Linked DNA regions of Oryctolagus cuniculus. The protein of the gene in region 2 interacts with the protein of the main gene of each other region in a pairwise test. Links are inferred from orthologs where the notes say so. Each region holds a gene or a part of one and is shown on either strand. Other genes may lie near its edges. The genes, in order: MAVS and RIGI.

Region 1 (12,066 bases), on a different chromosome or scaffold from region 2:
ACCTACATACACTTGTCTTTCTGATGTTTCTGCAAACTTTTCCCAGGCCCTGTATGCCGCCTCTTGTCCCTGCTACTTGGCGCACTGTGTGGTGGGGTTGGCTTTGCCAGCCTCCCCGGCTCCCTCTTGTGTTTGATTTCGTGTAGTGCTTCGGCTGGCTCCGGTCCCACTGTTCTTCGGAGCCCTCTCTTCCCTTCCTCTAGTCCTTGTCCTGCCCAGATTTGATTCCATTCTCCTCGTCCCAGGACCCTGCCCCACGGGCCCCCATGGTTCCAACCGCACCCAGCACAGAGAAAAACGCCCCTCCCCATTTCAGCTGCTGTCTCCAATGGGAGCCCTGCGCTCTCTTTCGGGGTCTCCTGTCTTCAGGCGTCTCAGGGCTGATGGGGTTTGACCCCTTCCTCTTGTATGTTGCATCTTGAAGATCCCTTATCGCTTAGCAACCGTTTTCTGTGTTTTGCTTCTGTTTTGTGGCTTGTTTTCATTTTGCTCTGGGGGGGGTTTCTGGTCCCAGGGCTTTTGCAGGCAATACATTTTGCTTCTCATCAGCAAAGGAGAGCTAATTACAGGACACTCAGAGTCCACTTCCCGGCAGCTGCAGTTGGTCGTTGGCTATTGGCTGCTGCTCATGGCTCTTCCTCATTCTGTTCTAGGGCCCTGATCCTGGCTTTGTCCTGGGCCAGGGTCCAGTGTCCAATGGCTGCTCCCCACTGGGGTCTCTCGGTGCCCCTCTCTGCAGTTGTCACATGCTGGGTGAAGAGGCAGCCAGCGACAACTGGCTTGAGCACGACTCCGGGGCTGTGTCTTCCAGGATCGGCTGCGGGCCTCCTACACGCGCCTGGGCAACCGAGACACCCTCTGGGACCTGTTCAACAGCCTGCAGCGGCGGACCGGCTGGGTGGATTCCTTCATCCGGGGCCTGAGGGCCTGCGAGCTGCCGGAGCTCGCTGACCAAGTGGCTGGCGAATATCAGCGCCACCTGCCTCGTGAGCGTCCTGCCCTGGCCCCGAGACCCTGCCTGCTTCCTCTGCCTTCTCTACCCTCGCCTCTCCCTCCTTGGTACCTCCTGCCTTTGTCCTCACCCTCCCACCCGTCTCCTGCCATCTGTGGGTGAACCCGAGTGTGGAGCCTGGCTGAGCCTTGGGCTTTCCCTCTGTAAGATGGGGCTGATGGCAGTTTCTGCACTGGGCAGATTCTGCGGGACGGTGCGTGTCGAAGGGGCCGACTCCTCTGATTTGTCGGGCTGTGTTCTTTGCCTGCTGCCTGCTTCTGGCCTCCGGGTTCCTTCCTCTCCACACCCACGTGTCCGCCCTCCCTCTCTCCACTTTACTTCCCCTCCTCCTGCTCCCCCTGGAAGCCTTCTAGCCCTCACCCCAGGCTGCTCCGTTACCTCTCAGCTCCCTTCCGCTGCCCCTTCCTGGCCCTGGTGCTGGGGGCATTTGGCATGGTCAGGAGAGGAGAGGGCCTGGGGGAGGGAGGGAACCAGCCTTGTTCATACCAAGGGACTTCAGGAAGCTCGTGGAAAGAACAGTTTGAAAGACACGTTTATCTTGGTGCCCCCCCAAAAAAAATTAAATCCATGCAGTTTTTATAGCATGCATTTCTTTCTTCCTTCCTCCCTCCCTCCCTCCTTCCCTCCCTCTCTTTTCTTTTTTATTTTTTCTTTCCTTCCTTCTTTCTCTCTTTTGTTTTCTTTCTTTCTCTCTCTTTTTTCTTTTGAAAGGCAGAGTTACAGAGGGAAAGGGAGAGACAGAGAGAGAGAGAGATCTTCCATCTGCTGGTTCATTTCCCAAATGCCATCAATGGCCAGAGCAGGGCCAGACTGAAACCAGGAGCCAGGAGCTTCTTCCAGGTCTCCCATATGGGTTCAGGGGCCCAAGCACTGGGGCCATTCTCTGCTACCTTCCCAGGCGCATTAGCAGGGACCTGAATCAGAAGTGGAGCAGCAGCCAGGACTCGAACCAGTGGCCAGATGGGATGCAGTGACTTTACCCACTATGCCACAGTGCTGGCTCCCATAACATGCGTTTCTGTGAGGTTTTTTAATTAATTAATTTATTTATTTATTTTGCCAGGCGGAGTGGACAGTGAGAGAGAGAGACAGAGAGAAAGGTCTTCCTTTGCCGTTGGTTCACCCTCCAATGGCCGACGCGGCTGGCGCGCTGCGGCTGGCGCACCGCGCTGATCCGATGGCAGGAGCCAGGTACTTATCCTGGTCTCCCATGGGGTGCAGGGCCCAAGCACTTGGGCCATCCTCCACTGCACTCCCTGGCCACAGCAGAGAGCTGGCCTGGAAGAGGGGCAACTGGGACAGAATCCGGCGCCTCGACCGGAACTAGAACTCGGTGTGCCGGCGCCGCAAGGCGGAGGATTAGCCTAGTGAGCCGCGGCGCCGGCGGTTTTTTAATTTATTTTGAGAGGCACACACATACACAGCTCCCATTTGCTGGTTCACCCACCAAATGCCCACAACAGCTAGGGCTGATCTAGGACAAAGCTAGAAGTTAGACTTGCAGCCCAAGTCGTGCATGCTATGGTGGGAGTCCGATTACTCGAGCCATCACCTGCTGCCTCCCAGGGTGTGTGCCAGCAGGGAGCTGGAGTCAGGAGTGGAGCTGGCACTGCAGGCACTCAGGCGCAGGTGTTAACTGCGAGGCAAACACGGGCCCTCCGTGTCCGTCTTAAGACTCCTTGTACTTCAGGCCTGGGCAGCCTCGGAGACCCCAGTCAGGTTTCCAGCTCCGGGATGCCCCACACTGGCTTTTCTTTCTCCGTCCCTGCCTCCTTCCTTGTGAGTTTCTTCATTGGTGGAGATTTGCAGTGATTCCCTGAGCATGGACAGCTGCTGCAGGGCCAGGGATGGGCGGGGCAGGGGTCTGTGAGTGGTAGCAGCCCCCCCAACTTCGCCTCCCCCCTTGCTACCTATCTTTGGCCTCTCCAGCTCCCCTCTGCCTGCTACTCCTGCCTCCCCCCAGTGGCCTCCCAGAACTGCACCCTACATTGGGACAGCCTTGAACTATGGAGGGGGTTGGGGGCCCAAGAGCTGCCAGGTGTCTCCATTACAGGGAGCCCCCCATTCCTTCCTGATATCACTGTATTTTTGTCCTCCAGGGGCTGCATCCCACCCGGGAGCCCCTCGCGGGGCACCACAGGAGGCGCCATCACTTCCTGCCGAGGTTCCTGGGGCCTCTGCACCTGCTGCAAACCCCAGCATCCCCCACGCTGGCCACAGAGAGGAGCCAAGTTACCCCTTGCCTGTCCAGGACACCCAGCCTCCCAAGTCCCTGGGAGAGGTGCGTCCTCACCGCCCGCCTACCTGCTTTTGTGTTCCTGTCTGCCCGCTTCTACCCTCTCAGGCCCTTACAAGAAGGGGGGCTGCCTCAGACCCACCTCAGGCGGCTGGCCAGGCCTTCAGCGTGTTGCTGCCCACAGCCCTCTGCCTCCAGCTGGCTTGGAGGCCACCGCTCAGAGGGCTCCGCGGTGGCCAGTATGAGATGCGGAGCTGGGGGAGGAAGCTGGGGCTTGACCAGCTGATGGGGAGGGTGGGACGAGGGAGCAGACAGCGAGCTGCAGTGATTGCCAGGAAGATCAAGTCCAGGGGAGAGAAGACTGTGTCTACTGAGAGGTCAGGAGTGGGCAGCGGGCACCCAGGAGACCTGGAGGCTAAGAAGGGGTCTGTGCGTGGCTGCAGAGAGGGGGACCCATCCCCGGGGCCACAGGTGGACAGGGACTGCCCTTGGGTTGATGCGTGTCTTCTGTGAGGTCAAGGCAAGGTTGCCCATGGACACGGGGTCCGGCTGCGTCTCCTTGGCTCCCGGGCTCTGTGCGGTGGCTGAGCCCTTCGGTAGCGGGGGTCCCCGGAGCGTGAGGCGCTCTCTGCCAGCTCTCAGGGGACGCAGCTGCTGATTTTCCCTCTTTCAGGGTTCAGAGCAAACGCCACACACACCCAGCTCTGGGGTCCTCCTGAGGACACCCAGCGTTCCCCTGGAGCCCTCCTCCTCTGACCCAGCAGCCCTCGGCCCTCCAAGCCCCAGCAGGCCTCAGGAGCAGGACACAGACTTGGCCAGCATCCACACAGCAGGTATGCATGGAATGTGGCGTTACAAGGTCTCACTGGCCTCCCCGAGAGGGTGAGAGGGTCAGCGTCAGGGTCAGAATGACTCCTCTGTCCTCCTGGACCAGAGACAAAGTGGGAATAAAGGGAGCAGAGGCTCCTTAGCCAGTGGATGGGGACGTGGTCACTGGCTAGGATGTGGTCGCTGGCTGGGGGCATGGTCACTGGCTGGGCAGATGTTGCAGTACATTGCTGCCCAGGTGGGGGAAGAGAATTAGGTCCATTTCTGCCCCCTGTCAAAGGGTGGGATGGCCAGGGCTGGGCCGACTGTTGGCAGCAGAGCTCACTTGGACACTGCCCTACCCCGTAAGTGTTGTCAGTTCCCAGCAAATCATCAGCTGGGGCCTGGCCCCACGCCAGACCTCAGTGCTGCCCCTCAGGAACGTGGAGCCGTCCGCCGCGACCTCCCAGGCCCACACCTCTCCACTGCCTCCCAGAGTGTGTTCCACGGGATGCTGGTGCCTGGCCAGCTCTCAGGGCCCCTGGGAGGCACCGAGCAGCTAAAGGCTGGGAGATGCCAGCTTAGTGCCCCCTCCTGCAGCTACCCCCAACCTGTTCACAGCACCTGCCTTGCACTTTGCCATGTCAGCTTTCCCGGGATGCCTTTCAGGAGGTGCCGTGGGGTCTGGGGTGGAGGTGGAAATGCACTTGGGTTTTAGGACATTTGTGGTCATGTGTCCCCAGAGAGTCTGTGCCACTGTTGTTGGGAGGAAGGCCCAGTGGAGTCACCCCAGGGAGACGTTTGTCCTGACAGGACATCTGTGTCCCACATCCGGGTACCTGGGTTAGAGTCCTGGTTCCAGATTCCGACGCCAGCTTCCTGTGCGTGCGGATCCTGGGAGGCAGCTCTGATGGCTCAAGTAACTGGGTTCCTGCACCCACATGGGAAACCTAAGTGGAGTTCTTAGGTCTGGCTTTGGCCTGGCCTAGCCAGCCTCAGCCATAGTGGGCACTTGGGGAGTGAACCAGAGGATGCGAGGTCTCTGTCTACCTTTCAAGTAAATAAAAATTAAAAAACAGAAGAATCACCCGATTGTCAGCCCTGGGGCCTGGCATGTGTGTTCCCGGCATCCCACGGAGGATCCTGATAAAACTGCGCTTCCTCTTGGGGCACTTTGTCCCTGCCCCCACATCTTCTGGCCCCTGGGGGCTGGTAGCTTCTGGTGCCACTTCAGCCTGAGCCGTCCTGCTCTCCCTGGCCTGATGCAGGATCGTCCCACTGGGATGTGCCCTGGGGGCGGGGGGACATCAGTGCTAGGGGCGTCCCAGGTCCCACCTGGCTAGGGAGAAGGTGGGAAAAGCAGGTGCAGGTGAGAGGGGGTGTCCTGGGCGGGAGAAGAATTCACGATAACCTTGCGGCTCCTGGGTCTTGCCAGGAGGAAGGACAGTTAATGCCTGTGACAGGGCAGACCTGGGGCTACAGGTCAAGGGCAGGGCAGCTGTTGGGACTCAGGCCAGTGGCTGCAACCATAAGGCCTGCAGCTGCAGAAGGCATGCTGAGCTCGGGCAGGGGGCCCTTTTGCAGCCCTTGGGATAACAGTTCCTTGGGTTTGTGTTTCCACTTTTGCTTTGCCACCTGCAGGCTCCGGCTCCAGCCCCGCGCCACCCTGCGGACCTGTGTCTCCGTCCGTCTCCTTCCAGCCTCTGGCCCGTTCCACTCCCAGGGCGAGCCGCTTGCCCGGACCCGCCACGTCAGTTTCATCCGCTGGCACCTCCTCACCCCCTGGCTTGGCTGCTGGACAGGGTGCTGGTGTCCAGGCAAAGGCCACCGTATGCTCCAGCGACACAGTGCCCACCAGCTCTGTGCCCCCCAGTGCAGCATCCTCCAGGGTGCCCAGCAACGCAATGTCTGGGGACACAGTAGCCCCCACAGCGCCTGCCAGCTCCGCATTCACCAGCACGGTGCCCTCCAAGTTGCCCACCAGCGCAAAGCCCCCCAGTGCAACGTCCTCCAACGTGCTTCCCAGTGTAGCACCATCCAAACTGCCCATCAGCTCAACAGGTGCTGGCACGGTGTCACCCAAAGTGCCTGCCAGCACGGCGCCCACCAAAACACCTGCCAGCACGGCGCCCACCAAAACACCTGCCGGCATGGCGCCCACCGTCAAGAGCAGCACCAGGGCTGCGGTGAGTCTCACCCCACCTCGCAGTGATGTGGGACCCCTGCCCCAGCAGAGCTGGCCCTCCTGGCACCCTTCCCAGTCTGTCTGTGCAGTCTGTGGCCTCACCCAGACCCGAGGAGGAATAACAGTCAGGGGAGCTCCTGAGTGTGGCTGCCTCGGGCGGGGGCTCAGGCATGCTGGGTCACCTGCTGTGTTCATGTGCGTTCATTCTTTTAGGGCTCTCAGCCCCAGGTAAGCTCAGTAAGGCCCTTTCTTTCTTTCCTTTCTCTCTTAAAAGACTTATTTATTGATTTATTTGAAAGTCAGTTACAGAGAGAAAGAGAGAAAGGTCTTCCATCCGCTGGTGCACCCCTCAGATGGCCTCAGTGGCCAGAGCTGCACCAGGCCAAAGCCAGGAGCCAGGAGCTTCTTCTGGGTCTCCCACATGGTTGGCAGGGGCCCAAGCACTTGGGTCATCGTCTGCTGCTTTCCCAGGTGCATTAACGGGGAGCTGGGTTGGAAGTACAGTAGCTGGGACTCAAACCAGCACCCATATGGGATGCTGGCAGTGTAGGCACCAGCTTTACCTGCTACGCCACAGCACCAGCCCCTAGCAAGGCCATTGCACAGATGAGGAACCTGTGAGGGGCAGGGTGTGGGAGGCCCCACCAGGGAGTCCAGCCTATCACTGCATGACCAAGGCCTTATTTGCGGTCATCCTAGCCTATCCAGTCTGGAGCAGCTTCTGTGACACAGCAACCCCCCTTAGCTGCCCCCTGCAAGCCCTCACTGCTGCTGTCCCCTTGGGGGAATCAATCCACGGGACCCTTGGACACATGGCCAGGCCACACACGCTGTGGCTGCTCTGTGGTCTTCAGGCCCAGGCAGAAATGTTAATGGAGGGTGGGCCCACATCCCACCGTGGGTTCCTGGAGCAGGGGTGAGCTCACTGCAGACCCGGGAGGGCTCCCCCACTGCCCTGCACCACCGTGGATTAGATCCCCTCTGGCCCGGGAGTTGAGAGGTTAGGCTGCTGGTTAATGCCCTCACCCAGCAGGGGGCGCCCCACCCAGCTTCTCTTCCTGTCTCCCCGGTTCCTTGAATGCTCTCCTTTCTTTCCCAGGGGACCCCGGTGGCTCCAGCACCCAGAGGTGCCACAGGAGGCAGTGAGCCCTGGCCAGACGGCAGCTCTGGCAGCTTGCACTCTGGGCCGGAGGTGAGCAAGCCAGGTGTGCTGGCCTCCCGGCTGGACAGCCAGCCTTTCTCGGGCTGCTCCGCGGATCTCGCCATCAGCCCCAGCAACTCGCTGCTCCCCGAGCCCGGCCACGGCCCAGAGGAGAACGAGTACGTGTCGGTGGGCACTTTTGGGCTCCACGTGGTAGAATGTCCCAGCGCTGACCTGGAAAGCAAACCTGGGCTGAGCGCCACCCAACAGCCTCCACAGCCCACGGACGAGACTGTGCAATGGGTCTGGGCAGAGCCCTGGGCTTTGTGGTTTGGGGCAGCCGTGGCCAGCGCACTCATGGCCACACTGCTGGCTGTGCTGTACCGGCGGCGCCTGCTTCACTGATGGCCCCAGGACCACCTGCTGCACACCTGCTCAGCCCTCACCGCATGCTGCCTGCCCTTCATCCCTTCCTCAGGGCTGCAGGGCTGGGCCAAGGGGAGCTGCGGGGCTGCAGGCCTGGCAGGAGATGTGGAAACAGCATTTCCGTCCCGGATCGTGCCTTCTCTGGGTCCCTCTTCATCCTTGGCTTCTCTGGATACTCCTCTGGCCCCCCTGCTCCAGACCCGCTCACCTGCATCCCGGTTGTCACCCCATGTGCTGGGGAGGGGTGCCTCCTGCCAGGCTCATTTGCCCAAATGTGCAGATCAGGAGGTGCAGCTGGACAGCTCCTGGGGTTGGCAGTGCCCCTCGCCCTGTCCTGGTGCCCGAAGACCTGAGGGCAGGGGTGCTGCGTCGAGGGGCCTCATAAGACCTCCTGTCCCCAGTGGCCCAGCCCAGAAGCCACTGTGAGTCCTGCCCCAGCCACTTCACCCCCTTCTGGTCTCCATTCTCAGCTCCCTTCTGGGGTCAGGGAGGGGCCGCCTGGTGAGCAGAGCTCAGCTCAAGGCCTGGGCCTCAGATGCAGCCCTCCCTGGGCTGGGTGGCCTTGGCAGATGGTCCGACTCTGGTCTCACGTGGACAGCGTGAGAACCTGGCTCATGCTTTCCTGGGATTTTCTGAAGCAAAGCAGACAGGGGTTGGCCCAGAGCCAGTGACCACTGAGTGCTCCCCCCGCTCTCCTGCTCAGCTTGGTAGAGCTGAGGGCATGAAAGGCAGAGTGTGCAACGGGCCGGGGTGCAGCTCTGTAGGGCGGGCAGCCAGGCCTGCAGCTGCCCTGCCTCTCATGAGCTCCGTGACCCCGAGTGAGCTATCAGCCTCTCTGTGCCTTCATTCCCATCTGTAAAATGGGGGTTAGCACACACATATGTATTTATAGACTCCTCGTGTGTAGTGAGGATGAGATGAGTTGCTCTAAGTTGGACACCTGTTATGACCACTGCTAAGTCTGGAGGGACTGCAGCTCCTGGCCGCGCCTTTGGGGACAGAGCCAGGTCTCCCGCTTTGGCCTCCTTCCTCCTCGATTGCCTGTGCACCGGGGGACTGGGGGGCGGGAGGTGTGTCTACCTGGCCAGCCGTGCAGGATGGGGACTGGGGTGTTCTCCCGCAGGGGCCAGGTGGGTATCTGTGGTCCCAGCCTGAAGCCTGCCCACCCACTGGTGGGAAGATTGGCTATGTTTATACTAGAAATGCATTGGGGTGCATGGGTTCTCTGCAGGTGGCCGTCACTGGACAAGGGGCAGGCACAGGAGCTACCTGTGTTCCTGAGCTCTGCAGGGGACAAGAGCCAGTGTCTGCAGAGATATCGGGGTTGGGGGTCACTGTCGCTCACGGCCAGCCTGGCAGCCCGCGGGGTTTGGTGCCCTGCCCAGGCCGCCAGTTTCGCCTGCAGGGTCCTAAAGACTTCTTCCTCTGAGCTGCTGTTCAGCTCATGCTCCAGGCCCAGCAGCCTGAGCTGTGAAACCAGGGAGACCCCTTCTCTAGCGGCCTGCATTCCTGTGCATCACCCCCGCCTGCCCTCGCCCAGCCCTCCCTGCTCCCCTGTTGGGTAGGGCAGTGAGCAGTTCACGCAGACGCCAGTTTTAATCTGAAAAAGTAGGCGGCTGGAAGGTATCACTCAGCCCCGAGGACTGTGGCCAGAGGGCAGGGCCGGCAGTCAGGCGCCACGGGAAGTGCCTCCGGCAAGTGCATAGCCAGCGGAGGGACTCCCGGCGCTCTCGCCTTGTGCTTCCAGAAGCCTGGCGTGGCCTGTCTTGAGCCCTGTCCTCGTGTCAGCTATTGTCAGCCTGAAGTCCTCTCCATGGCCACTTGAAGCAGGAGCAGAAACTGGCCCGTGAATTGGCACGGTCAGATCACAGTAGTCTTGCCTTTGGATGCAGCTTTCAGCTGCATGCTGGAGACAGAGCTGGGTCCCCCTCCCAGCCTGGGTGTCAGAGGAAGCCAGAACCTAAGACAGGAAGGGTGGGCGTCCTCGCGTGGGCCGGGGGGGGGGGGGGGAGTCAGCTGGCTGCCACGCTTGGGAGAGCACACACCTCACCTTGAGGAGGTGGTGCGCTGGGGCTGGCGGTCCCAGTGCCCCCTACGTGCCTGGGGATAGACCCTCCTTGGGTACCCTGGTCTCAGCCCCTGGGTACCTTCTTTCCTGGGCTGGGCTGCTGGGCCGGAGCAGTCACTGCTTCTGTCTCCTTAGGAGGTACCCCCGAGGCAGGGCGGTGTCCTGTTCCTTTGGAAAATGCTGTTGACTGTGGACTGCTCCCCTACACGTGTGCACAGCACCCCACCCCCCACCCTGCGTGCCCGGCTGGGCTTCAGGGGCGCTCCCTGCCGTCTCGTTCGCCCATGAGCTGCCCTATTTTCTCTACAGTTTCTTTATAGAAGTAAGTTGAAGGACAAAGCGTTGAACAAGCCACAGGGGCTGGGAGGATTTTGCGCCCAGGGCCCTCCGTGTTCTGCACCAGTGCCATGTGACAATGAGGCACCCGTCACTTGGTTTCTTGGCCTCTGTGGCTGACATCCCTCCCCTTGGACTGGCTCCAAGTGCAAGCAGCACTGGACTGGGTCTTAGGGGGAGGGGCCGCAGGAGGCTCCTCCACTGCTCAGCTCCTGGGCAGTGCTCAGCCGTTGCTCCGATCCCAGAGGGGACGATATGACAGCTGTGTCTCCTTGCACCGGAGCCTTCCGAGGCCCTGACAGAGCCCTCGCAGCAGGTGGGAATTCCCGTGCTGGGCAAGATTCAAACCCTGCAGCGTGTTCTGTCTGTGGTCTCTTAGGAATGGAGGCCTTGAGGCCCCGCACTTCATGCACGTCCTGTCATGAAGGTAATGGCCAAGAATAAACACCGCCCCCTCCCCACCAGGGGTGGGAGGTCCAGGCTCCGTGGGCTGTGTGGGAACTGGTACCTGTCGGTGGGCAGCAGGCACGTGCTCCCCTGTGCTCCATTTTCTGTCCTTTCCCTCTTGCACAAGGCCATGAGGTCCACTCGTGCCGGGCAGGGTCAGGCTGAGCCCTCCTCGCTATGCCACTGCTGCTGTCCCTAATAGCAGTAACCAGGAGCGCCACCCCCACCCCGTCTTCTGTGCATCAGGCACTGTGCTCACCCCTTACGTGTGCTAACTCATTTAATCCCCATTTCATGTCTTCGTGGGCCCAATTTACAGCTGGTTTGCAAGGCTGGGTGGGGGAAGGGCCGGGGGGGGCGGGCGGGAAGCGAAGGAGAGCCCTGGAGCTGGGTGTTAGTCGTGTGCGCAAATCACATCTGATTAGGTACTGGAGCCAGGGACCCCATTTAAAGTGAGATTTTCCACATCACCACATCCCTGCCCGGGATGCCAAGATCTGCCACCTGCTTTACTAGAATAATTGCACTCAACACATAATTAATAGAGTCTCAGGGATGTTGCAACAATATGATCACAGTTGTGTGTGTGCCCAGGCTCAGTGGCCTGAGGCTGGGTGAGGTGGGACAGGGGCATAAGCCCAGAATGACAGGGAAGCCAGATTGGTTCAGCAGCCATTGCTCGTTAAAGGCATCCCATGTGCCAGGTCCAAGGCCAAAGATGAGGATGACATGGTGGGGGCCTTCAGGTGGCTGGGGACATGGGCAATGTGTGATGCTGACCACTAGACTTTCATGTCAGTTATTCTGTACGCACTGTGTGCAAAGCGTCGGGATAGGCCTTGGTGACTGAGTAATATAAAGGGGGCTTTGAAAGTTCATGGAAAATGGAGTTAAAAGGTATGTTTATTTTGGTGCAGAAAAATTTGAAATCCATGCATATGGAGGATCTGCTAACAGTTCATGGAAAATGCCTGTTATGGGAAAAAATTCATAGATTCCAAAATTTTCTGCACCAAAGTAAACTTATACTTTTTAATTCTTTTTTCCTGTGAACTTTCTGAAATCCCCTAAATCAAAGTCCCGCTGCCTCTGATATAATTAGAGTGGTCTGGTGAGTGTTCCCGGAGCACGGAGTGGGGGAGGGAGAGTTTGGGAGGGGGCAGATGATGTTTCAATCAGTTAAGTGCTATTAATTGCTACGATATTAATTATTGTAATTAAATCCAGGGGAGAAATACCACTTAGAACCTGTCGTGGGTAAGTCCGACAAGATCAAACGTTAACAGAAATATACGGCAAATGAGACTCGGAGGTTTCCGGAGGAGTGTAAGTTGGTGCTGTGGTCTGACAGTGTCCCCTGACAGCAGCCAGCCAAGGTGATGGCCTTGGAGGCGGGGCTGTGGGGAGG
Region 2 (12,066 bases):
CCAATGTCCTAAAGTGTTTCCCCTATGTTCCTATGTTTTTCTCTAGTACTTTCTTAGGTTTGTCTTAGATCTAAGTATTTGGTCCATTTTAAGATGAGTTTTGTGCATGGTAAGAGATAGGGGCTTGTTTCATTCTTCTGCATGTAGTAATCCAATTTTGCAAACATGATTTATTGAAAAGACTCCTTTCTTCAATGTGTGTTCTTAGTGCTTTTGTCAAGATTAGTTTGCTGTAGATGAATGGGTTTGTATCTAGACTTTTCTGTTTTTATGTCAATATATACTGTTTTATTGTAGCTTTGTAATTTTTTTAATAAAGATTTATTTGAAAGGCAGAGTTACACAGACTCAGAGGCAGAGAGTGAGTGAGTCTTCCATCCTCTAGCAGAGAGCTGGATCAGAAGAGGAGCAGTTGGGACTAGAACCAGCACCCATATGGGATGCTGGCACTGCAGGCAGCGAGTTTTACCTGCTATGCCACAGTGTGGGCCCCTGGATGTGTGTTTTTTTTGTTTGTTTGTTTGTTTGTTTTTTGTTTTTGTTTTTGACAGGCAGAGTGGACAGTGAGAGAGACAGAGAGAAAGGTCTTCCTTTTGCCGTTGGTTCACCCTCCAATGGCTGCCGCGGCCTGCGCGCTGCGGCCGGTGCACCACGCTGATCCGAAGGCAGGAGTCAGTTGCTTCTCCTGGTCTCCCATGGGGTGCAGGGCCCAAGCACTTGGGCCATCCTCCACTGCACTCCCTGGCCACAGCAGAGAGCTGGCCTGGAAGAGGGGCAACCGGGACAGAATCTGGCACCCCGACCGGGACTAGAACCCGGTGTGCCGGTGCCACAAGGCGGAGGATTAGCCTAGTGAGCCGCGGCGCAGGCCCGTCCAAATTTTATTAGTGTTTCTTTTTCTCTAATTCTACCAAAAATGTCATATTTTTGACAGGCGTCTCATTGAATCTATAAATCATTTTGTATATTATGAATATTTTGATGATATTGATTCTTCCAGTTGATAAACATGGGATGTATTTCTGTTTCTTTGTGTCATCTTAAATTTCTTTCGTCAATGTTTTATAGTTTTCTTTCATCTTAAGTTTATTCCTAAGATTTAAAAAAATTTTTTTTGATAGTTATTGGATATGAGATTGCTTTCTTTATTTCTTTGTCAGACTATTTATTCACTATTGGTGTTAACACTATTGATTTGTATGTCTATGTCATACAACTTTGATGAATTTATTTCTTAGGTCTAATAATTTTTTGGTGGTCTTTGAGATGACATGTCCTTACAGAAAAATCCCAAGAGTGACAATGACTTCTTCCTTTTCACTTTGTATGCCCTTTATTTCTTTTTCCTTCCTAATTGTTCTGGACAGGACTTCCAGTGCTGTGTTGAATGAAAATAGTGTTCTTGTCCCAGATCTTAAAGGGTCTTCTACGTTTTACGCATTCAACACGAGGCTAGATGTTGACTTGTTATATGTGGCTTTTATTGTGTTGAGGTGTGTTCCCTCCATACTTAGTTTGTTTAGAGTCTTTGTCGGGAAGGGGTGTTAGATTTTGTCAAATACTTTTCTCCGTCTATTGAGATGATCATGAGTTTGGTTCCTCGTTCTGTTGATGTGTAGTGTGTCATGTTGATTTTGTATGTGTTTGAACCATCTTTGCATACTTGGGTTGAATTCCATTTGCTCCTGATGAATAATCTTTTAAATATGCTGTTGGATTCAGTTTACTAGATTTTGTTGAATTTTTGCATCTATGTTCATCAAGGATATTGGCCAGTAGCTTCTTTCCTTCATTCATTCCTTTGTTCCTTCACTTTTGTCTAGTTTTGGTATCAACTAATACTGACCTTATAAAATTAGTTTGGAAGAATTCCTCTCTTCTACATTTTGGAGTAATTTAAGAAAAATTGATATTAGTCCTTTTTAAGATATTTGGTAGAGTCCAGCAGTGAAGTCACCTGGACCTGGGCTTTTTATTTATTTTCTTGGTAGGAGATCGTTAGTTACTGTTTCAATCTCCTTACTCATTGTTGGTCTTATTTGGTGTTTATTTCTTTGTGGTTCCATCTGGAAAAGGTGTACGTGTCCAGGTATTTGTCCATTTCTTTCAGTTTATAAAATGTATTGCTGTATAATTGTAATAATTAATAACAATCCTTTGTATTCCTGTGGTGTCAATTGTAACATCTCCCTTTTCATCTTTAATTTTTAGTCGTTTCTTCTCCTTTCGTTAGCCTTAGCTAAGGTTTGTCCATTTTATTTATCTTTTTAAAGACCCAGCTCTTCATTTCATTATTTTTGGAACTCTATTTCATTTACTTCTGTTCTGATTTTTATTAGTTCTTATATTTTTTTATTTATTTTTGTTTTTCTAATTCCTTAAGGTACAGCAGTAAGTTTGAAATCATTCTGCTTTTATTTTTTTTAAGTGGGCATTGATTACCATAAACTTTCCTCTGTGTACTGCTTTTGCCATACCTCATAACTTTTGGTATGTTTCTGTTCCTGTTTTCATTCATGCCATGAAAGTTTTAAATTTCTTTTTCGATTTTTTTCTTTGATTTATTGGTTATTCAGTAAGATGTTTAATTTCCACATATTTATGTATTTTCCAACATTTTATTTGTTACTGATTTCCATTTTTGTTGCATTGTGGTCAGAAGAGATACTCAATAGGATTTCTGTCTAATGTGTTGAGACTGGCTTTGTGACCTAGTATATGATCTGCCCTGGAGACTGTGTGTGTGCTGGTAAGAAAAGTGTATTTTGCAGGTATTGGATGGAATATTCTTTTTTTTTTTTAGATTTTTATTTATTTATTTTAACAGGTAGAGTTACAAACAGTGAGAGAGAGACAGAGACAAAGGTCTTCCTTCCGTTGGTTCACTCCCCAAATGGCTGCTACAGCCGGCGCTGCGCCAATCCAAAGGCAGGAGCCAGGTGCCTCTTCCTGGTCTGCCACTCGGGTGCAGGGGCCCAAACACCTGGGCCATCCTTCACTGCCTTCCCAGGCCACAGCAGAGAGCTGGACTGGAAAACGAGCAACCAGGACTAGAACCCGGTGCCCATATGGGATGCTGGCGCCACAGGCGGAGGATTAGCCAAGTGAGCCATGGCGCTGGCCCCTGGATGGAATATTCTATAAATGTCTGTTTGGTCAGATTGGTCTGTAGTAAAATTAACTGCTGTTTCTTTGATTTTTTTGTTTGTGTGATCTGTATACTTCAATATATTGAAGTTCCCTACCATTATTATATTAGAAAATATCTCTGCCATTAGATCTGTATTGGGATGCAAATATATCTGATTTTTATCCTGGATGGATTAGACCCCTTATTGTATAATGGCCTTCTTGTCTCCTTTTGTTGCTTTTGATTTAAGTTCTGTTTTATCTGATATAAATATGGCTACTTTTTTTGTGTTCCATTTGCATGGAATATCTTAGTCTTTAATTTTCATTCTATGAGTGTCCTTTTAGATGAACTGAGTTTTCTTTAAGCAGTACATAGTTGGATCTTGTTTTATGCATTTGGTCACTCTTTTAATTGAGTTTAAAATTCATCTATATTTAAGATAATTATTGATAGGTAAGGTCTTACTACTGCCATTTTGATACTTTTTTAGTTTTATTATAGTGACTTTTTTTCTCCTTCTCTTTTAATCTTCCTCTGTGTTGACCTAAATTTCTCTAGTAGAGTGTTTGATTCTTTCCTTTCTTTGAGTTTTATCACTATATATTCAAATATGATTGCTCTGATAATTTCATTGTGTTTTGTTTATTAAATTTAGCCCATAAAACTTGCTATTCCTCCTTTTCAGGTTATTCTGGGCTTTATGAAGCCATTGCAAATTGGAATTTCCAAAAAATTGAAAAGTTGGAGGAATACAGAGCACTTTTGAAACGTTTACAACCAGCATTTAAAGACAGAATTGATCCAACATGTATCCTTCCTGAAATGTCTGACTGTATAATTAGTCAGGAATATGAAGAAATTATGCAGGTAAGTCAAATAAAATACTAACTTTAGGGGAAAGTAGTTGGAACATGGGGATGTCTTGTGTTGTCTCTACTGTTTTAGAACTGAAAACGATAATTGAAACACACATAAGTCCTTCTATAAGAGGCATAGTTACCTAGGAAGGTACTTGTAATGTGAACTGATTTTTATGTAACAATTTTTTCAAGTTTGCTCTATTTTCACTTAAAATTACTTTTTTCTGAATAATTCATGCAAATTTAAATACAGTCGACCAGTTCAGCAAAGAAAAATAATAAGAGAAAAGCTGGGGCCAGCACTGTGGCGTAGTGGGTAAAGCCGCTGCCTGCGGCACCAGTATCCCATATGGGTGCTGGTTTGAGTCCCAGCTGCTCCTCTTCTGATCCAACTCTCTGCTGTAGCCTGGGAAAGCAGTAGAAGGTGGCCCAAGTGCTTGGGCTTCTACACCTGCGTGGGAGACCCAGAAGAAGCTCCTGGCTTTGGATCAGCACAGCTCTGGCTGTTGTGGCTATTTGGGAAGTGAGCCAACATTTGGCAGGCGTTTCTCTCTGTCTCTCCCTCTGTCTGTGGCTCTGCCTCTTAAATAAATAAAAAAATGATTTTTTAAAAAAAGATTGTAGACTAGCAGTTAAGAATTTGTGCTATAGACGCATTAAATTTTTTGTACCTAGAAACCTTTTATTTAAGCTTTAGAAACTTGATGCATTTTATATATACAAATTTGGAAACAAAGTGATTCTTCCTACCCTATCCTCCCTCCCACCTGCATTCACAAGCTTTCTTCCTCCTCCCTCTCCTATTCCCTTTCTTATTTTTTACTAAGATCTGTTTTTTTTTTATTTGACAGGTAGAGTTATAGACAGAGAGAGAGACAGAGAGGAAGGTCTTTCTTCCATTGGTTCATCCCCCAAATGGCTGCTATGGCGGCGCTCCGCCGTTCCGAAGCCAGGAGCCAAGTGCTTCTTCCTGGTCTCCCATGCGGGTGCAGGGCTCAGGCACTTGGGCCATCCTCCAGTGCCCTCCTGGGTCACAGCAGAGAGCTGGACTGGAAGAGGAACAGCTGGGACTAGCACCTGGCGTCCATATGGGATGCCAGTGCCACAGGCAGAGGATTAACCAAGTGAACCACGTTGCTGGCCCCAAGATCTGTTTTCAATTAACTTTATACACATAAGATTAACTGTACACTAAGTAAAGAATTCAGTAAACAGTATGGGAAAAAAAAAAAAAAAACTGTTCCTCAACAGCTGGGACAAAGGCTGTTCAGTCATTGCATCTCAAGGTCTCAATTTCACTTCTGTAGATTACTTTTTAGGTACTCTGTTAGTTACCATGGATCAAGGAGAACATATGGTATTTGTCTTTTGGGGACTGGCTTATCATAATGTTTTCTAGTTCCATCCATTTTGTTGCGAATAACAGGATTTCATTTTTTTACTGCTGTATAGTACTCCAACATAGATAAATTTTGTTAGAATCTTGGCTCAACCATTTCCTAGTGTGTGATACTGAATAAGTTACTTAGCTTCTCTAAGCATCTGTTTTGTCATGCATAAAACGAGAATAATAACAGTACCTTAATATAACATTTTATAAGGGTTAAATAAGATAATATATGTAAAGTGCTTATACATGCTTGGCATATGATAATAAGTCCACAATACATTTTACTTCTTATGAATAGTGAAGCCACATAAATCCCTCTATCCTGAAAAGTCACATATTAATATTATGTTACGTTGTTCCACGTTTCACTCTGTGCCAATATCCTGAAAGTGTGAATGACTTGCAAATGGAATATTTTCCTAGTCTTACTTATAATGATAGGTATAAGAACTCAGGGGAGATGCGAAAGCTTCTCTTGACATAGTGACACCGATGTGTAAAGGACAAGGATAGGGCCTGCACTGTGTCATGGAAAGTTCAATTGTCACCATATGGGCACTGGTTTGAGTCCCAGCTGCTCCACTTCCAATCCAGCTCCCTCCATGTGCACCTGGGAAAGCAGCAGAGGCTGGCCCAAGTCTTTGGGCTCCTGCCACCCATATGGGAGACCTGGAAGATGTTACTGACTCCTGGCCCAGCCCTGACTATTGTTGCTATTTGGAGAGTGAACCAGTAGATGGGAGATCTCTCTCTCTCCTCTTCTCTTTTTCTGTATCTTTGCCTTTGAAATAAATAAATAATTTTTAAAAGGATAAGGATGAAGGAAAGAGTTTTAAAAGACTGTTGGATGGGAGAAAAATGGTTATGAACTATAATGTATGGTGATTTAAAATCATATAGCACTTGAAATTGACATTTTCTCATTGAAAACTCATACAAGGAAAACTTTTGAAATAATTGACAAATACACTGCTTTTCCTTTGTTTAGGTTTGCTCCAATAAGGGGATAATGGCAGGTGCAGAGAAAATGGCTGAATGCCTTCTCAGATCAGACAAGGAAAACTGGCCCAAAACTTTAAAACTTGCTTTGGATAATGATAACAACTCATTCAGTGAACTTTGGATGGTAGAGGAAGGTAGGTTATTCCAAGGAAGAGCTCTCCAATGGAGAGCAGTGTGCTCCTCCTGGTTGTACTTAGCGCTTCCCTTGTTCCTGCCTGTGTTCGCTTGCCAGCAAAGGCAGACTCCCCTTCAGATACCCAGGGCTGTGTCGCTACTGAGAGACCAGCATAAAGTCGAGTTCTAGGAGGAAGGTAGCTACTTGCATGCAGAATTCGTTTGGTTGTATATAACCTCTAAAACTGTATCAGGAAAAGATGCCCTCATCCTACATTTACCCATCTTGCCCAAAAAAATTTGGGGAAGGCCAAGTCTGAGCTCTCATCCTGGTTTAGATGATCTGAGATATAGCTTGAGAATTCTAGAATTACAGGTTCCAGTTCTCTAAGGCTTACCCCCTTTCCAAAGTAGAGTCATTGCCCAGTTCTCTTGTTGGGCACCACCTAAAACTGAACCAGAGCGGGAATAAAAGGAGAAAATTTGTGATGATTTGGGCTGTCATTTGACTTTTTGAAGCCAACATGTCCAAGCTTTGTTTTAAAGGATGGCTTTGGCATCATCCACATGTTCATCTTAGCGTTGCTTAGGCTTCTTTAGATTATAGGTTGTTTCCAAAAGTGTCTAAAATACATGTCTGATTCTTGGGTCCAGGGTCAGGTGTCTGCTAAATCACGCTGCTTTTCTCATGTAGACATAGTGTGTGTAGGACTCTTTTGAGTATTGTTAAAATTCATATTCTGATTCCACGGGATCTCAAGGTTCCATTTCTAACAAATTCCCAAAGTTGCTGATCCCGACTCCATACCTTAAATAATAAAGTCCTAAATGACTTTGAAGTTCAGACTCCAAACTGAGATAAAATGATTCTTTTAAGAAGTGAAGGGGAGTGTTTGTTAGAAATATTAGTGAAAGTTTAGCATTAGTGCTATAACTTCTTTTGTGACAGTTTCACCATCAGAACTATATTCAGATTATGTTAAGGTTCTGGAATGTTTTTTGATCTCACAAAGATGCCAAAGATGTTGAAGCTGAAGATCTTGAGGAGGACGACATGGGAACTTCCAGCATACATATTGTCTACCAGGAAGATCCACAGTTGGAGAATCTCAGTCAGAATTCATGTACACCTGCAGGTACTGCTATTATTTGTGCTTTTTCGTGATGGTGCTCTACAGGCATTTTGTGTGGGGACTTGCTTGGCAGTGCCAAAAGTCATAGCCTTATGAAAAAAGTTTGTAAAGAAAACTAAGGAAGACAAGAGAATTATGTCAAAAGAGATATTTTTCTATAATTAGAATTGCCACTCTTTCCATAGCTGCTAAGTGGACTTTAGAAATCTTTTATCACTAAAAGTATGTGTGTGTCTGTATTAGAAATGCAGTGTCCCTCCAGAAAATGAGTGTCTATGAAATTTATTATCTTTTTATTTATTTATTTTTTTTGATAGGCAGAGTGGACAGTGAGAGAGACAGAGAGAAAGGTCTTCCTTTTGCCATTGGTTCACCCTGCAATGGCCGCCATGGCCGGCGCATCGCGCTGATCAGGAGCCAGGTGCTTCTCCTGGTCTCCCATGCGGGTGCAGGGCCCAAGGACTTGGGCCGTCCTCCACTGCACTCCCTAGCCACAGCAGAGAGCTGGCCTGGAAGAGGGGCAACCGGGACAGAATCTGGCGCCACGACCGGGACTAGAACCTGCGGTGCCAGCGCCGCAGGTGGAGGATTAGCCTATTGAACTGCAGCGCTGGCCAATGTCTATGAAATTTAAAATCAGCTTTCCTCTCTAAAGAAATACCTCTACTGATTGTGAGCCACTCACTTAATTTCCTTTATTAATATCCCAGGGCTGCCATTCAAGTGTGTGAGGTTGGTGTGTTGCACACATGTGCTTGGCTTAGAGGTTGAGTGAGGGCTGAGATGCAGCCCGTGTTGTTTGCCAAAGGGTTATGTTCTCCAAAGAACTCCATTTCCCATTCACACTGAGGCTCTTGTGTGACGTCATTGTGGTCCGCTAAGGCCCCCGATGTGTCTGGAAGCATATTTTCATGACTGTTTCATTAGGGAACTAGGGATTTGCATAACATACCATATAAAATTTATTTATAAAAGGATATCAAGTAGGAAATTATGCTGAATGAAGAATACTCTTTGGGGAAAATGTGATTTTAGGATAACTCTTAAAGAAAATTGACAGATTACTTCTGCAAGTGAGTAATGCAAGTTTTGGGGGAGGAGAATCATTGCAGAATAAAATCAATGACTATAAGTTGCTTTAAATATCCCTGACATGTAAAGATCCTTATATGTCTTGTAAGTGAGGTTACCTCACTTTACCTTTTAAGAAGTTTTCCCTTTCTTAAAAATGGGTGGACTTGCTAGGTATTTCCAGTATTTTTTTCTAGTTCTTAATATGTTATATACTAACATGTTTTTGAGATTAAGTCCTTGGTTAGAGAAGCTGAATTGGTTACAAAGAGACAAGATTCTAAACTTTCTCTAACGAACCCTTCTTTCTACAGTCAGAATCATGTCTACTGGATTTTAGCTATTGCTGTGATTCCTCAGAGAGGTAACTGGAAATTTTGTTCCTTTTGTATTATAGAAGTATCTCGCGCTAAATTATGCAGCCAACTGAAACCAAGAAATTACCAGCTAGAGCTTGCTCTGCCTGCTATGAAGGGAAAAAACACAATAATATGTGCTCCTACTGGTAAGCCAATTGCTATTACTTACATAGTTTGTTTCTCTGTTGCTTTTTTCTTTTTTTCTTTTTTTTTTTTTGTTGAATACTGTGACATAATGGGCAATTTTCAGATTGTTCCTGTTCCATTTGTCTTTTGACAAAACTATCCTATTTAGACAGTCTCAACGAAAGGGAAGAAATGCCCTCTTTTAGTTTTTGTCCTGACTGTTTTGAGTGCATGTTACCTGCGAAGTAGCTTAATGTTTCTTTTTCTGGTCATAATTTCTAGTCAGTTCAATGATGTTAGAGGAGCCAAAAATGCAGAATTCTCTAGTATAATATTAGTTACATGTTTTCCTTTTCCTTGTATGTTAAAAGGTTGTGGAAAAACCTTTGTTTCACTTCTTATATGTGAACATCATCTTAAAACATTTCCACAAGGACAAAAAGGGAAGGTGGTGTTTTTTGCTAATCACGTCCCTGTGTATGAACAGCAGAAATCTGTGTTCTCAGAGTATTTTGAAAGACTTGGGTAGGTACAACAATCAGTCCAATGTCATGTTTCTCTAGCTTCATGCAATGAATTGTTTTCTGTTTTGTTTTTTAAAAGCCATGCTTACATTGTTTTATAATATTCAGCTTTTATATAAACTAGATGTTAATTCCTGCATGTAATTGAGTCTTTTCTTGTTATACATACTAGAAATTCTAAAGCCTCCTAGTTTTTATGGTTTGAGTAAACGATTTAACAGATAATGAACTCGCTTTAATAGGGATGAGGGTACCTTAACTGCTAGACTGAGTACCTATCCTAAATTTGACATTTAAATATCACATTTATCTTCTTTAATGATTTTATAATTTATTTGGTAATAGTCTTTGATCTACTCTCTCTGCTTTTAGTTACTTGAAAGAATGAATATATACTATGTTAACTACCTTGCATTTATTGATTATTTACCGTGTCAGGCTATGTGCTAAGGACTTGTCTCTAAATATATTCCTTTTGGATTTAAGATCGTCAGTTGTGGCTTCTCATCCACATTATGCTTGGTTAATAGGGGTTTCTGTCACTTCCCAGGTACAGTGTGGCAGGCATTGCTGGAGCAACAGTTGAGAATGTCCCCGTGCAACAAATCGTGGAGAACAATGACATCATTGTTTTAACGCCACAGATCCTTGTGAACAATCTTAAAGACGGAACTATTCCATCACTCTCTGTCTTCACTTTGATGATATTTGATGAATGTCACAATACTTGTAAACAACACCCATACAATAAGATCATGTTCTATTATCTGGATCAGAAACTTGGAGGATCTTCTGACCCACTGCCTCAGGTATGTCCACAGTCAGGAGAACTCCTTGGGAGAGGTATAATCTCCCTGAATTCCATTTACTTACACCTGTCACCACAGTGAGGATGTCCTTCTCAGGTCCTAAGTCATTATACAACTCATTGATCAATTTTGGTCCATTCATTTATTCAGTTAAGATATTAGCTGGGGGGCCGGCACTGTGGTGTAGTGGGTAAAGTCGCCACCTGCAGTGCAGGCATCCCATATGGGTGCTGGTTCGAGACCCGGCTGCTCCGCTTCTGATCCAGCTCTCTGCTTATGGCCTGGGAAAGAAGTAGAACATGGCCCAAGAGCTTGGTCCCCTGTACTCATGTGGGAGACCTAGAAGAAGCTCCTGGCTTTGGATTGGCCCAGCTCTGATGTTGCAGCCATTTGGGGAGTGATCCAGTGAATGGAAGACCTCTCTCTCTCCCTGTCTCCTCTACCCCTCTCTTTCCCTCCCTCCCTCTCTCCCTCCATCTCTCCCTCCCTCTCTCCCTCCCTCTCTCCCTCCTTCTCCCTCCCTCTCTCCCTCCCTCTCTCCCTCCTTCTCTATCCCTCTTTCTCTCTCCCTCTTTCTCTCTCCCTCCTCCTCTCTCCCTCCTCCTCTCTCCCTCCTCCTCTCTCTCTCTCTATCTCTCTCTCTCTGCCCCTCTCTAGCTCTACCTTTAAAATAAATAAATCTTTAAAAAAAAAAAAATATATATATATATATATATATATATATATATATATATATATATAGTGGGACCTCACTATCCAAGGAAGATGGTTCCAGGACCCTCTACACAGGTATAAAATCTATACATGCTCAAGACACCTTTACAAAATGGTAATACTCATCCACATTGTGCTTGGTTAATAGGGGTTTCTGTCACTTCCCAGGTACAGTGTGGCAGGCATATAATCCATGTACATCCTCCCATTTACTTTAAATAATTTCTGGACTACTGATTACACAATGCAAATGTTATTTTTTTAAAGATTTTTTTTTTTATTTTATTTATTCCACAAGTAGAGTTACAGTGAGAGGGAGAGACAGAGAGAAAGGTTTTCCTTCCATTGGTTCACCTCCCCAAAATGGCCGCTATAGCTGGCGCGCTGCGCCGATCTGAAGCCAGGAGCCAGGTGCTTCTTCCTGGTCTCCCATGCGGGTACAGGGCCCAAGCACTTGGGTCATCCTCCACTGCCCTCCCGGGCCACAGCAGAGAACTAGACTGGAAGAGGAGCAACCGGGACTAGAACCCAGGGCCCATATGTGATTCCTGCACTGCAGGTGAAGGATTAGCCAAGTGATCCACAGTGCTGGTCCCAGAATGCAAAGGTTATACTAGTAGTTGCTGTACTGTATTGTTTAGGGAGTAATGACAAGGGGAAGGTTTGTACATGTTCAGTACATGTACAGCTTTGTTTTTAACATTTTCAAGTTGTGGTTGGTTGAATCCATAGATACAGAACCTGTGGGTACAGAGGACTGATCATGTATATTGTATACCTCCATGTGCCTTGCACTGTGCCAGGCACTGGGGATACTAGTATAAAAAGACA

The links.
Region 1: the proteins of RIGI (region 2) and MAVS interact in binary tests that used the Homo sapiens proteins (3 or more experiments, as listed by UniProt). The link is inferred for Oryctolagus cuniculus from reciprocal best matches to the Homo sapiens genes RIGI and MAVS.

The regions. Positions count from the first base shown.
Region 1 is NC_091442.1:29,182,817-29,194,882, forward strand, and holds part of MAVS (mitochondrial antiviral-signaling protein), read left to right. Parts: intron 1-811; coding exon 812-986; intron 987-3,111; coding exon 3,112-3,293; intron 3,294-3,921; coding exon 3,922-4,081; intron 4,082-5,696; coding exon 5,697-6,241; intron 6,242-7,339; coding exon 7,340-7,786; 3' UTR 7,787-12,066.
Region 2 is NC_091432.1:195,873,394-195,885,459, reverse strand, and holds part of RIGI (antiviral innate immune response receptor RIG-I), read left to right. Parts: intron 1-3,818; coding exon 3,819-4,000; intron 4,001-6,371; coding exon 6,372-6,519; intron 6,520-7,512; coding exon 7,513-7,635; intron 7,636-9,100; coding exon 9,101-9,208; intron 9,209-9,559; coding exon 9,560-9,713; intron 9,714-10,262; coding exon 10,263-10,521; intron 10,522-12,066.